Linked DNA regions of Rattus norvegicus. The protein of the gene in region 1 interacts with the protein of each later gene in a biochemical or structural test. Links are inferred from orthologs where the notes say so. Each region holds a gene or a part of one and is shown on either strand. Other genes may lie near its edges.

Region 1 (3,500 bases):
GGCATCAGATTCCCTGGGGCTTCAGTGACAGACAGCTCTGAGCCTCCAGTGGGTGCTGAGAATTGAACCCGGGTCGTCTGGAAAAGCAGCCGGTGCTTTTAACCACGGTGCCATCTCTCCAACTTCAACCATCGGTTTTGCTTTTTAGTTTGGTTTTTAAAGATTAAGCAAACGTTCCTCAATGGGTCGCTGATTAACAGAACATCTTATCTAGCTGTCTCATGAAACAGTATTCAGCCATTCAAAGTGAAGACCTACTATATCTGTCTAGAAGACCTAAAAAAAACGTCAGCTGGGGCAAGGAGGACAGCTAGATCTTGGTTTCTAAATGAAGTCAGGGTGGCCTGGTGAAATCACCATTCTAGACCTGAGCAGAGCAAACTACAAATTAAACCTGACATATGTGTCAGAAAGCCAGAGAGCACAGAAGACAGACAGAACACTCTAAAGGGTACAGGAGTCTGCACTCGGCCTCTCCAGCAGTCCCGTCTCTCCGGGAGGACGAGCATGCTTGAGCTAGAGTGGAGGGGTGCAGCACGCTCAATTTAAACTCTGGTGACTCTGTGGAAAGGGCTCATGGGCTCTTCAACCGTTCTGAGTTTTGAAATTTCTAAGCAGAAAAGGCTGGGTGTCTGCAATTTCTTCCGTGTAAGGCTGGCGGGCTCAGGTTTGTGACCAGCCCAGGATCCTGCCCACAGGCATCAGGGAGCCTGAGGTCTATAAAATCTTTCCGAGGTTGGTCAGTTTGGAGACAGGCTTGCTACATGCTGGAACTTCAGGTGTGCACCATCATGCTCAGGGGGAGATTTGGAAGTCAAGTTAGACGTCCCCCTTCCACCATTCACTAACACCTAGACGGAACTAACACTTGAGAACAAGAGCTTAGCAATGAACATCTCCAAGCTCCTCCCATCTCCCCACGTCCTCACAACAACAAACGGAGCCAGGCATTATGCACACATCCTAAGCAAAATCAAGAAGTAATGCAGCAGGTGGGTCCTGGGTGCTGTAGTTCAGTGGCAGCCAGGTGCAGCAGTGACCAACACCTTTAATCCCAGCACCTGGGAAGCAGGGGCGGGCAGATATCTGAGTTCGAGCCCAGCCTGGACTACAGAGTGAGTTCCCAACCAATCGGGAGACAGTGAGATCCTATCTCAAAAAAGAAAAAAAGAAAGAAAAGAAAAATTCAACCTCAAGTCATCAATATGACTTAGCCAGTAAAGCACTTCCCTAGTGAGCCTGGAGACCTGAGTTCAGTTCCTGGGAGCCATGGCAGACAGAGGGAAAAACTCTTGAATTGTCCTTTGACACCCACACACACACCCTCCCTTCCCTCCCCATATTAGCAACAGGAAATTTAATAAAAATCAAAACACTTCTCTTGTCATGCTAGAAGCTGTTTCTTCTTCTCTCCACCCCGCTGGTTCCCGCCCTGGAACGACTGAAAACGAAGACTCACTTGCCCTTGCTGGCCAAGTTATCCAAGCAGGTCTTGATGTAGCTCTTGTAGTAATCCACCTGCTCTCCGTAAAAGGTGGCCTTCGAGTTCAGCGCCGAGTAGGTCTGCTGCAGCTTTACCAGCTCAGCCTTCCTCCTCTGCCTGTATCGCCGCTGATTCCGGATATCCTGAGGCACAACCAAGACAATCAGGGAAAAGATGACAGGCGGCCTGTGCCTCCTGAACCACCATGGTCCATGACCACTACAGCGCGTCTGCGCTGAGCTCAAACCTGCCAGCCGACCTTACCAGGCGGCGGCCTGCGCTCGAAACCTAAAAGAAACTCCAATCTCATCGGCCTATATCCACTAGCAACGGGGAAGCATGTGCCCTGATTTTTGTGTGCTTAGGTTTACTTGCAAAGCTGGTCTGGACACCTCATAAACACTGCCCTGAGAGGAGGTAAAAGAAAGAACCAAGTTCCTCAGTCACAGTAGAACCCTGAGCCCTGGCTTGGGGTGAGTCAAACAAATCGAGTTGATCATGCAACTACCAACTTTACATATCCCACAGCAATCATAACAAACGGTCTGGAGGATTCTTTAAGAGTGACGAGAAACTCAGACACCAGAAACTCTAGTGAATGAAGGCTGGCACCCCATTAACTTAGACCACATAAAAATATCCACCTCAGAAGTGAAGTCCTGCTGTGAGAGTCAGAGGCCGTACCTCAGCGCTCCCGAAGCATCTGTAAATAAGGCCAAGCGCCACTGCTCACTGTACCTTAGCAATGTCGTTGATGAGTTCCTGGTATCTGTTCTTTGGGTCCACCGTCCCAAGTTCCGTTAGCTTCTTTAGGCCAGTCTGGATCTTCTCTTTCTTCTCCTGGAGGCTGAGGTTGTTATCCTCCTTCATGGGCTTTGATTTTTTCATCTTGTCAGGGGTTTTGGCATCGCGGATAGCCCGTCTCTGCATGGCCCTCTGATGTTCAGCTTCCTGCAGATGGGGGGAAAATCAACACAATATGTGCTCATCAGTTCACACAGGAGCCCGAGACTTAGAGAGAGCGCATTTGCACTCGGATACAATTCTCAGACTGCTGCACACATTTCCTCCCTCTCCCGAGTGCCAGTCAGAGAACAGCACGAAGGGGAGATAGCTCATTCCATCTAGAACGCGCATCTGTGAATCCAGATGCCCAGCTTCCCTGACACTAGGTATAGTCAGGAGAGCAGATGCTGAGCTACAGAAGCCCCTGTCACTTTATTCTAAATGAGGCTCAATAGAACCACATAAATCAATGTAGAGCCGTGTCTAGTATGCCGTTGCGAGCTCCTCCCAAGAGGCCGCCTGAGCTGAGCAGGCTCTTGCTGCCCTCTGCTCCCAAGCAGCTACAAACACTGGAATAGCAACAAGCTCCCTTCCTCAGACTCAGCCATCTTTCCTAACCTCTCCCTTGCTTTTTAAAAACACAGACACACAGCTCCTCACTGTGTAGGCCCTGCTGGCCTGAAACTAGCTAGGTAGACCAGGTTGGCCTCCAACTCACAGAGATATTTGGTGGGATCAAAGGCATGCCTACCATACCCAGCAACTCCTGGCATTTTTATAATCAATACTGTGGTTAATTTCTAATGGCCCTATGATTTCAGGTAGATGTCTCATCCTTTTCCTAATTGGAATTTAAGTTTGGAACCACATCTTGCACCAAGGTACTTCATCTAATTACAACAGTAGGACACTCATTAAATTACCAGACGGACTGATTCTGCCCCAGATTAAATTCTCGTTCATCCTGTGTTCGTTCTCCCTCTCCTTCTCCCTTCCTATTCTTCTGTTTGAAGGGAAAGGGGTTTCATGCCCTGAGGGCACCATCTGGATTCAGAAGTCACCAACTTCCCAGACAAATGAGCCCTAACTACTACTGTCCCGAGGAGAGACCCCTGCTCACCCTAGGGTCTAAGCCCTTCTCTGTCCCACTGACCCCATCCCATGCACTTATCACCACAGAAAAGCTTCTCCTGTGTAGGACGAGTGTGAAACCTTCAATTGTACCTGTTCA
Region 2 (3,500 bases), on another chromosome or scaffold:
ATAATTTTAATAATTTTCCAGTCCACATAAATAAGCCATAACTTTTGGGGAAAAGTAGCAAGTTTTTATTTTAAACCAAGTTGCATTGAACCTGTTGTCCATGGTTTTGAGCACTCACTTGGTAAGTAACACCTCAGTCAGAACTGTTAAATCATTTGGAGAATTCCCCAAGTACTTAGTTACCTAACCTGTATTCCCAGGAAGCAAAGGTCATTGTATTTTACCATATATTTTCTTTTTCTTTTCTTCTTTTTTTAAAATTTATTTATTTATTTATTTATTTATTTATTTATTTATTTATTTATTTAGAGTGCACTGTAGCTGTCTTCAGACACATCAGAAAGGGCATCAGATCTCATTACAGATGGTTGTGAGCCACCATGTGGTTGCTGGGAATCGAACTCAGGACCTCTGGAAGAGCAGTCAGTGCTCTTAACCACTGAGCCATCTCTCCAGCCCTAGCATATATTTTCCCTTTTTTTTCATATTTTTATTGGTTATTTTATTTATTTGCATATCAAGTATTATCCACCTTCTTAGTTTCCCCGTCACAAATCCCTTCTCCCCTTCTCCCACCCCTTGCCTCTTTGAGAGTGCTCCCCCACTGGCCCACCCACTCTTGCCTCAACGCCCTAGCATTCCCCTACACTGGGGCATCAAGCCTCCACAGGACCAAGGGGCTACCCTCCCCCCAGAGGATGCCAGATAAGGCCATCCTCTGCTACATATCCAGCTGGAGCCATGGGTCCCTCCATGTGTACTCTGTGGTTGATGGTTTAGTCCCTGGGAGCTTTGGGGGTCTGGTTGGTTGATATTGTTCTTCTTTCTATGAAATTGCAGACACCTTCAGCTTCTACAGTTCTTGCCCTTACTTCCCTATTGGGGTCCCCATGCTCAGTTCGATGTTTGCTGTATCTGCATCTGTATTGGTCAGGCTCTGGCAGAGCCTCTCAGGAGACAGCTGTATCAGGCTCCTGTCAGCAAGCACTTCTTGGCATCAGCAATAGTGTCTAGGTTTGGTGTCAGTAGATGGGATGGATCCCTAGGTGGGGCAGTCTCTGGATGGCTTTTCCTTCAGTCTCTGCTCAAACTTTGTCCCTGTATTTCCTTTTGACAGAAGGAATTCTGAATTATTATTTTTTAGGTGGATGGGTGGCCCCAGGGGCCATGCCTATCTACTAGATGTGGTCTTTATAGGTTCTCTCTCCCCTTTTTGGGTATTTCTCCTAATCCTCTCTGTTGGGTCCTGGGAACCTTTGGGGTCCATGGCATCTGGGACTTTGTAGTGGCTACCCCCAGATCCCCCTCTCCTACTGCTACATGCCTCCTTTCAAATTCCTGACCCTCTGTACTTGTCCCCCATCTCCTCCAGTATCTGAACCAGCCCCCCTTTTTCCCTCCCCTCCTTTCCCAGATTCCTTTCTCACTCTACCTCCAGAGATTATTTTCTTCCCCCTTCTGAGTAGGACTGTAGCATCCACACTTGGTGTGATCTTCCTTCTTCTTGGGTTTCATATGGTCTGTGAGTTGTATCGTGAGTATTCTGAGCTCAATTTTTGGCTAATATCTGCTTATCAGTGAGTATATTGAGTATATATATATACATATATATATATGTATATATATCATGAGTGTTCTTTTGTGATTGGGTTACCTCACTCAGGATGATATTTTCTAGTTCCATACATTTGCCTGTGAATTTCATGAAGTCATTGTTTTTAAGATCTGAGTAGTACTCCATAGTGTAAATGTACCACCTTTTTTTATCCATTCCTCTGTCGAGGGACATGTGGGTTGTTTAGCATATTATTTTCAAATAGTAGTATAGGAATATCACTGTTAGTTGCTTTGTGTGAGATTCAAGGATGTGTGTACCCATAGTCTGTGTTAAAAAGAAGAAAAGTAGTTTATTACTAGATAGTTAAATATAATTTATTTACAGTTTAATAATGATACAGATTTAAAATAATTAGCAAAAAAAAACAAGAATAAATATTTCATGTTTTGCAATTTGAAATTTTGGAGTAACAATTTCCTTTCAGGCGACGTGGCAGTGAAAATGCTGAATGTGACAGCACCCACACCTCAGCAGTTACAGGCCTTCAAAAACGAAGTCGGAGTACTCAGGTGAGTGTGTGCATCACCGCGTTCAGTGGCTTTACTCAAAGAAACATAATGTGCCTACTTGGAGTTTATGTTTACATTGTCTCCCTGATACTCAGTATAATTTGGTCCTGCATCTAGAAGACAAGACTGAATTAATGGAAATAAAAAATAATGCCTGATTGTGTATAATAGTTACTTTTAGGAAAATAGTACTCTAAAAATTCTAAATATATCAAAGCACATTTAAAAGTATATTTAGTCCTGGACCCTAGGACCTGAGGAACATTAGAAAATGAGAGTAAATCCATAAGAAAACTTATACAGGGAAGGTTCTATAGTTATAATTTTATGTGAGGGGAATATTCAACAAAACCGATATTTTAATCCAGAGAAGGCTATTGTATTCACAAGGGTGCATGGCTCCTCTGATACTGTGAAGGACAGAACAGAACAGGGAAGCTAGTTGTGGCGGTGAGAGGAAAATGATTTTACTTCCACTTAGAAAACGTCCTCATAAGTTTGGAACAACTTTAACAAATGAAAGTGACCTCTGCTTCTTCACTCGATAAATTTCTATATTTCTGAACAGAGTTGGAGGTTAGACTCAATAATTATAGGTCAGCCTTGCTTCGTTTTTGGTACGTTGTCCTGAGAGCATTGTATTGATTTAGCTCTCCTTAGAGAACTGTTACACATTGTCACATTTCTTTTTGCCAGGAAAACTCGACATGTGAACATCCTCCTTTTCATGGGCTATTCTACAAAGCCACAGCTGGCTATTGTTACACAGTGGTGTGAAGGCTCCAGCTTATATCACCATCTCCACATCATTGAGACCAAATTTGAGATGATCAAACTTATAGATATTGCACGGCAGACTGCACAGGGCATGGAGTAAGTTCAATGCTGTTAAATCTTCACAGCGCTCTTGAAATCCACTTACGGATACGTTAAAGGTCCTAATAATACATCTATGGGCTGCTTACTAGGTTTCTGTGCAAAGGTACTAACTACTAGAGAGCACTCACATACTAAAAACACTGTTTCTCTAGCTCAGCCTTTGAAGTATACAGAAGTGAGGTGTTTGATGAGAAGTTTATAATTGCAAATGATGATTAGCACTCAGTGGTTTATGTGAACAGTGGAAGTACAGAAAATTAGGAACCAGAAAAGCCACACTCCTACTAAAACAGAGCCATTAATAGTTATTTGTTAATCATTTTTAAAGTGTGACTATTTTTTGTTGCTTTTAAATCATTTTCTTTTACATGCCTACATTTTCTACCGTAAGGCCAGTTGATAAAGTTTTAAATGAATATCTATATTTTAATTCTTGTTGAGGACTTTAAGTTGAAACAGGTATATCTACTGAAGTTTACTTTGTAACCCAAAAG
Region 3 (3,500 bases), on another chromosome or scaffold:
TCCCTCTCTTCCAGAGAGCTGGAGTTCCATTCCCAGCAACATTAAAGGTGGTTCCCAACTTCTGTAACCCCAGTAAGTGCAAGCTGTAAAGGTGTGAGGATGTGAATGATAATGTAATTTGTAGGGGTCTAAGAAAGTAATTTAAAGTGTACATGGGTTGGGGATTTAGCTCAGCGGTAGAGTGCTTGTTTATCAAGCGCAAGGCCCTGGGTTCAGTCCTGAGCTCCAAAAAAAAAAAGTGAAAAAAAGTGTACAGATGCAAATTAAAAAGTTCCGAGGAGGGGGCTGGAGAGATGGCTCAGCAGTTAAGAGCACCCGACTGCTCTTCCAGAGGTCCTGAGTTCAATTCCCAGCAACCACATGGTGGCTCACAACCATCTGTAAAGAGATCCGATGCCCTCTTCTGGTGTGTCTGAAGACAGCTACAGTGTACTCACATGAATAAAATAAATCTTTAAAAAAAAAAAGTTCCTAGGATATGAACACTTAACTAAGTTGGAGAGTCTATTAAAGTGATTTAAAGTGTGTAGATGTAATCTGGAAAGATATGAGGAAGTGATTTAAGGCATGTGAAAAGTGAGAAACGTTTCAGATTTCTTTCCTGCTCACTATGCTATTGTTATATTAAGACTTCAAAACTTCAAAGTTGTAACATTAAACAATGGAGCTCTGATAAACTATTGATCTAGCCCTGATAGAGCACTGACTACTCTAATAATAGGCACAGGCTCAAAATTTTTACTTTCTTTTGGTCTTCTAAATATACATTTAAACGTGTTTCTCACTGTGCTGAAAATATCTCTGGCTTACAGACACTGCTTTTTCTACAATGGGGACTTCACTGCAGATTACAAATAGCAGTAATGCCAATTATCTACAACTTTTACCTTTTTGTGAACTTTGTAAAATTCACATAAGCTTTAAGAAATTGACACTCAGATCCACCTGTCACAGGTCAAACAGGCTCCAAATTAAGTATTCCCGATAATCAACAGTTTCAGTGTTCCTGCCTATTACTGCCTATCTCTTTTCTCTTTTTTTTCCGGAGCTGGGGACCGAACCCAGGGCCTTGCGCTTGCTAGGCAAGTGCTCTACCACTGAGCTAAATCCCCAACCCCTACTGCCTATCTCTTGAGAGTAGACTCTCTCCTTCCCTGTTCTTAGACTCCCTTCACCATCATACCCACCCAACTACCAGGACCGCAGGCCTGGAAGTTTTAGGTGTAAACCCTAGATGAAGATTTTCCCCTAAGCTCCTCATCTTTACATTCTGTTCTTAGTCTGTATCTGTTCCCACCGATTTCCAATCAAGGGAAGAATGTAAACTGCTCCAAACATGCCAGCCTCAGGTGGTCCTTTACAATCAGCAAGCCCTGAACTTTCTGAGAGCCGATATAAACTGTCTGACTTGAGCACTTGCTTTGGCCCAGCATTCCAGACTGCTCACAGCACCCTAACCTCCCTTACCTCCCAGCCTTAACCAGGCATCCCAGTGTCCCTGAGCCCTTAATTTCAGCTAAGAAGTAGCTACATTGCCCCTATCACAAACGAAAGGCTGGAATGTCAGGGCCAAATTGTGACAGTCGGATAAAAGCCCTCGCTCCTCAGGAAACCATTTCCTTATTACTGGCAGAAGAGACAAACGGCTACCTTTGGTACTTATTAGCATAACCAAGTGCATCCTGGCCTCCAGGCTCTGTTCCACATTTCAGAGTCCATGCTGGTGTCCTAGCTCTCCTCACCCACTTCTTACCCTAAACTTCTCCAGCTCAGAAGCCCTACCCACCCCATCCCACCCCACTACACTCACACAGTATACATTCACAGACAAATTTTTAAGGGAAAAAATAATAAAAGGAGAAGAGCCTCTGTATCCTCATGCTCCAAACAACTGACTACACAGAGACATGGGTTGCAGAGCCCTTACCTGTGTGAGGGCGGAACACTCCACATACTTGACAGCCTTCAGATCCCGCGCCAGCTTTTCAGCAGTCTCTGGAGTAATAGGCTTCTGTTTGTTCTTGGCAAGTTTCTCAATAGTAGAAGGGTCATCTCTGAGATCAATTTGGGTCCCGACAAGCAAGAAAGGAGTCTTTGGACAGTGGTGAGTTATCTCAGGCACCCACTAAAAACAAGGTTTTAAAATGCTGTTAATCTACAAGCCACTGACACTATAAAAGGGTAACAGAAATTCTGTGCAGGTTTGAAGGAGGCAGGACCTGACTTACCTTTTCTTTCACATTTTCAAATGAGGATGGAGAGACCACTGAGAAACATACTAGAAAAACATCTGTCTGTGGATAACTTAACGGTCGTAGTCTGTCATAATCCTCTTGCCCTAAAGAAAAAGTTAAAGAGGTCAGCAACTGAAATCTGGTATCCTTGTGGCATTAAAATTATAGTCAAGGCCTACAGCTATAGCTCTTTAGTACATAGAGTGATAACCTAGCATGCATACAGCCCTGGATTCAATCCCCATACCACATTAAAACCAGGCATGGTTGGCACAAGCCTATAATCTCAGCACTAGTGAGACGCAGGCAGGAAGGTTAAGTGTAACCATGAGATCATATATCAAAAAAAAAAAAAAAAAAAAAAAAAAAATTAAAGACGAGCATAGTGGAGCTAGCAAGATCACTCAGTGGTAAGGATGGTGGCTGCCATGCCTAACAACCTGAACTCAGTCTCCAGGGAACAGATGGTGAAAGGAAAAAAACCAACTCTCCCAAATTTAGCTTCTTGACCTCCACATATGTATACTATGGCATGTGCTTCCACATAAATAAATAAATGTAATTTAAAAGGAAAAAGAATATGGAGATATGGGCGATGCCCATAAACCCAGCACACAGGAAGGAGAGGCAGGAGATCACCACAAGTCTGAGGTCAGCCTGGTCCACAAAGACAGCTCTGAGACAGCCAAAACTACATAGTAAGGTTCTTGTTTCAAAGAAGAAGGGGGGAGGAAAACTACAGCTCTGACAACACTTCGAGTGTGTAGCTCTTAGCATATGAGCCATTAGTGACAAAGCTACGGCTTAGTAACATACTGTTTGGACAACACTTTCTGTGCTAATTCTATTTATATATACCAATAACTTACAAAGGAAAACTGACATATTTTCTTTTTACTTTTTTTAGTTCTATAACTCAGTAATAATATAACAACAATAAACTATTGCCACAGGTGTGGTTTAAAAATATCATACCTACTTCTGGCTACATAATGATCACAGCAAGCCCACTAATAAGTACTGTACTGAAGGCATCCATAATAATGCCCAAGCCAAGCGCAAGGCTTGGTCCACACGTGCATGTTAAAGCCACTCTGTAACTGGAATGGCCTAGAAAAAATGAACTTGGAAGAATGAAAGGTATGTAAGAAGAATAAAATACTTAGAAATTAACCAAAGATAAGAGTCACAAAATAAAAACAGCGAAAAACTGCTGAACATAACAAGCCCCAAGAAATGGAAAGACAGCCTATGCTCATATGCAGG

What was found. The genes of interacting proteins can lie anywhere in the genome.
Region 2: the proteins of Iqgap1 (region 1) and Braf form a complex in vitro, tested with the Homo sapiens proteins (2 studies listed by BioGRID and IntAct). The link is inferred for Rattus norvegicus from reciprocal best matches to the Homo sapiens genes IQGAP1 and BRAF.
Region 3: the proteins of Iqgap1 (region 1) and Cdc42 form a complex in vitro, tested with the Homo sapiens proteins (6 studies listed by BioGRID and IntAct). The link is inferred for Rattus norvegicus from reciprocal best matches to the Homo sapiens genes IQGAP1 and CDC42.

Annotation. Positions count from the first base shown.
Region 1 is NC_086019.1:144,098,954-144,102,453, forward strand, and holds part of Iqgap1 (ras GTPase-activating-like protein IQGAP1), read right to left. Parts: coding exon 3,494-3,500; intron 2,435-3,493; coding exon 2,222-2,434; intron 1,627-2,221; coding exon 1,460-1,626; intron 1-1,459. UniProt on the Homo sapiens protein: Plays a crucial role in regulating the dynamics and assembly of the actin cytoskeleton.
Region 2 is NC_086022.1:69,382,932-69,386,431, reverse strand, and holds part of Braf (serine/threonine-protein kinase B-raf), read left to right. Parts: intron 1-2,042; coding exon 2,043-2,127; intron 2,128-2,823; coding exon 2,824-3,000; intron 3,001-3,500. UniProt on the Homo sapiens protein: Protein kinase involved in the transduction of mitogenic signals from the cell membrane to the nucleus. Phosphorylates MAP2K1, and thereby activates the MAP kinase signal transduction pathway. Phosphorylates PFKFB2.
Region 3 is NC_086023.1:154,849,012-154,852,511, forward strand, and holds part of Cdc42 (cell division control protein 42 homolog), read right to left. Parts: intron 2,339-3,500; coding exon 2,229-2,338; intron 2,126-2,228; coding exon 1,928-2,125; intron 1-1,927. UniProt on the Homo sapiens protein: Plasma membrane-associated small GTPase which cycles between an active GTP-bound and an inactive GDP-bound state. In active state binds to a variety of effector proteins to regulate cellular responses. Involved in epithelial cell polarization processes.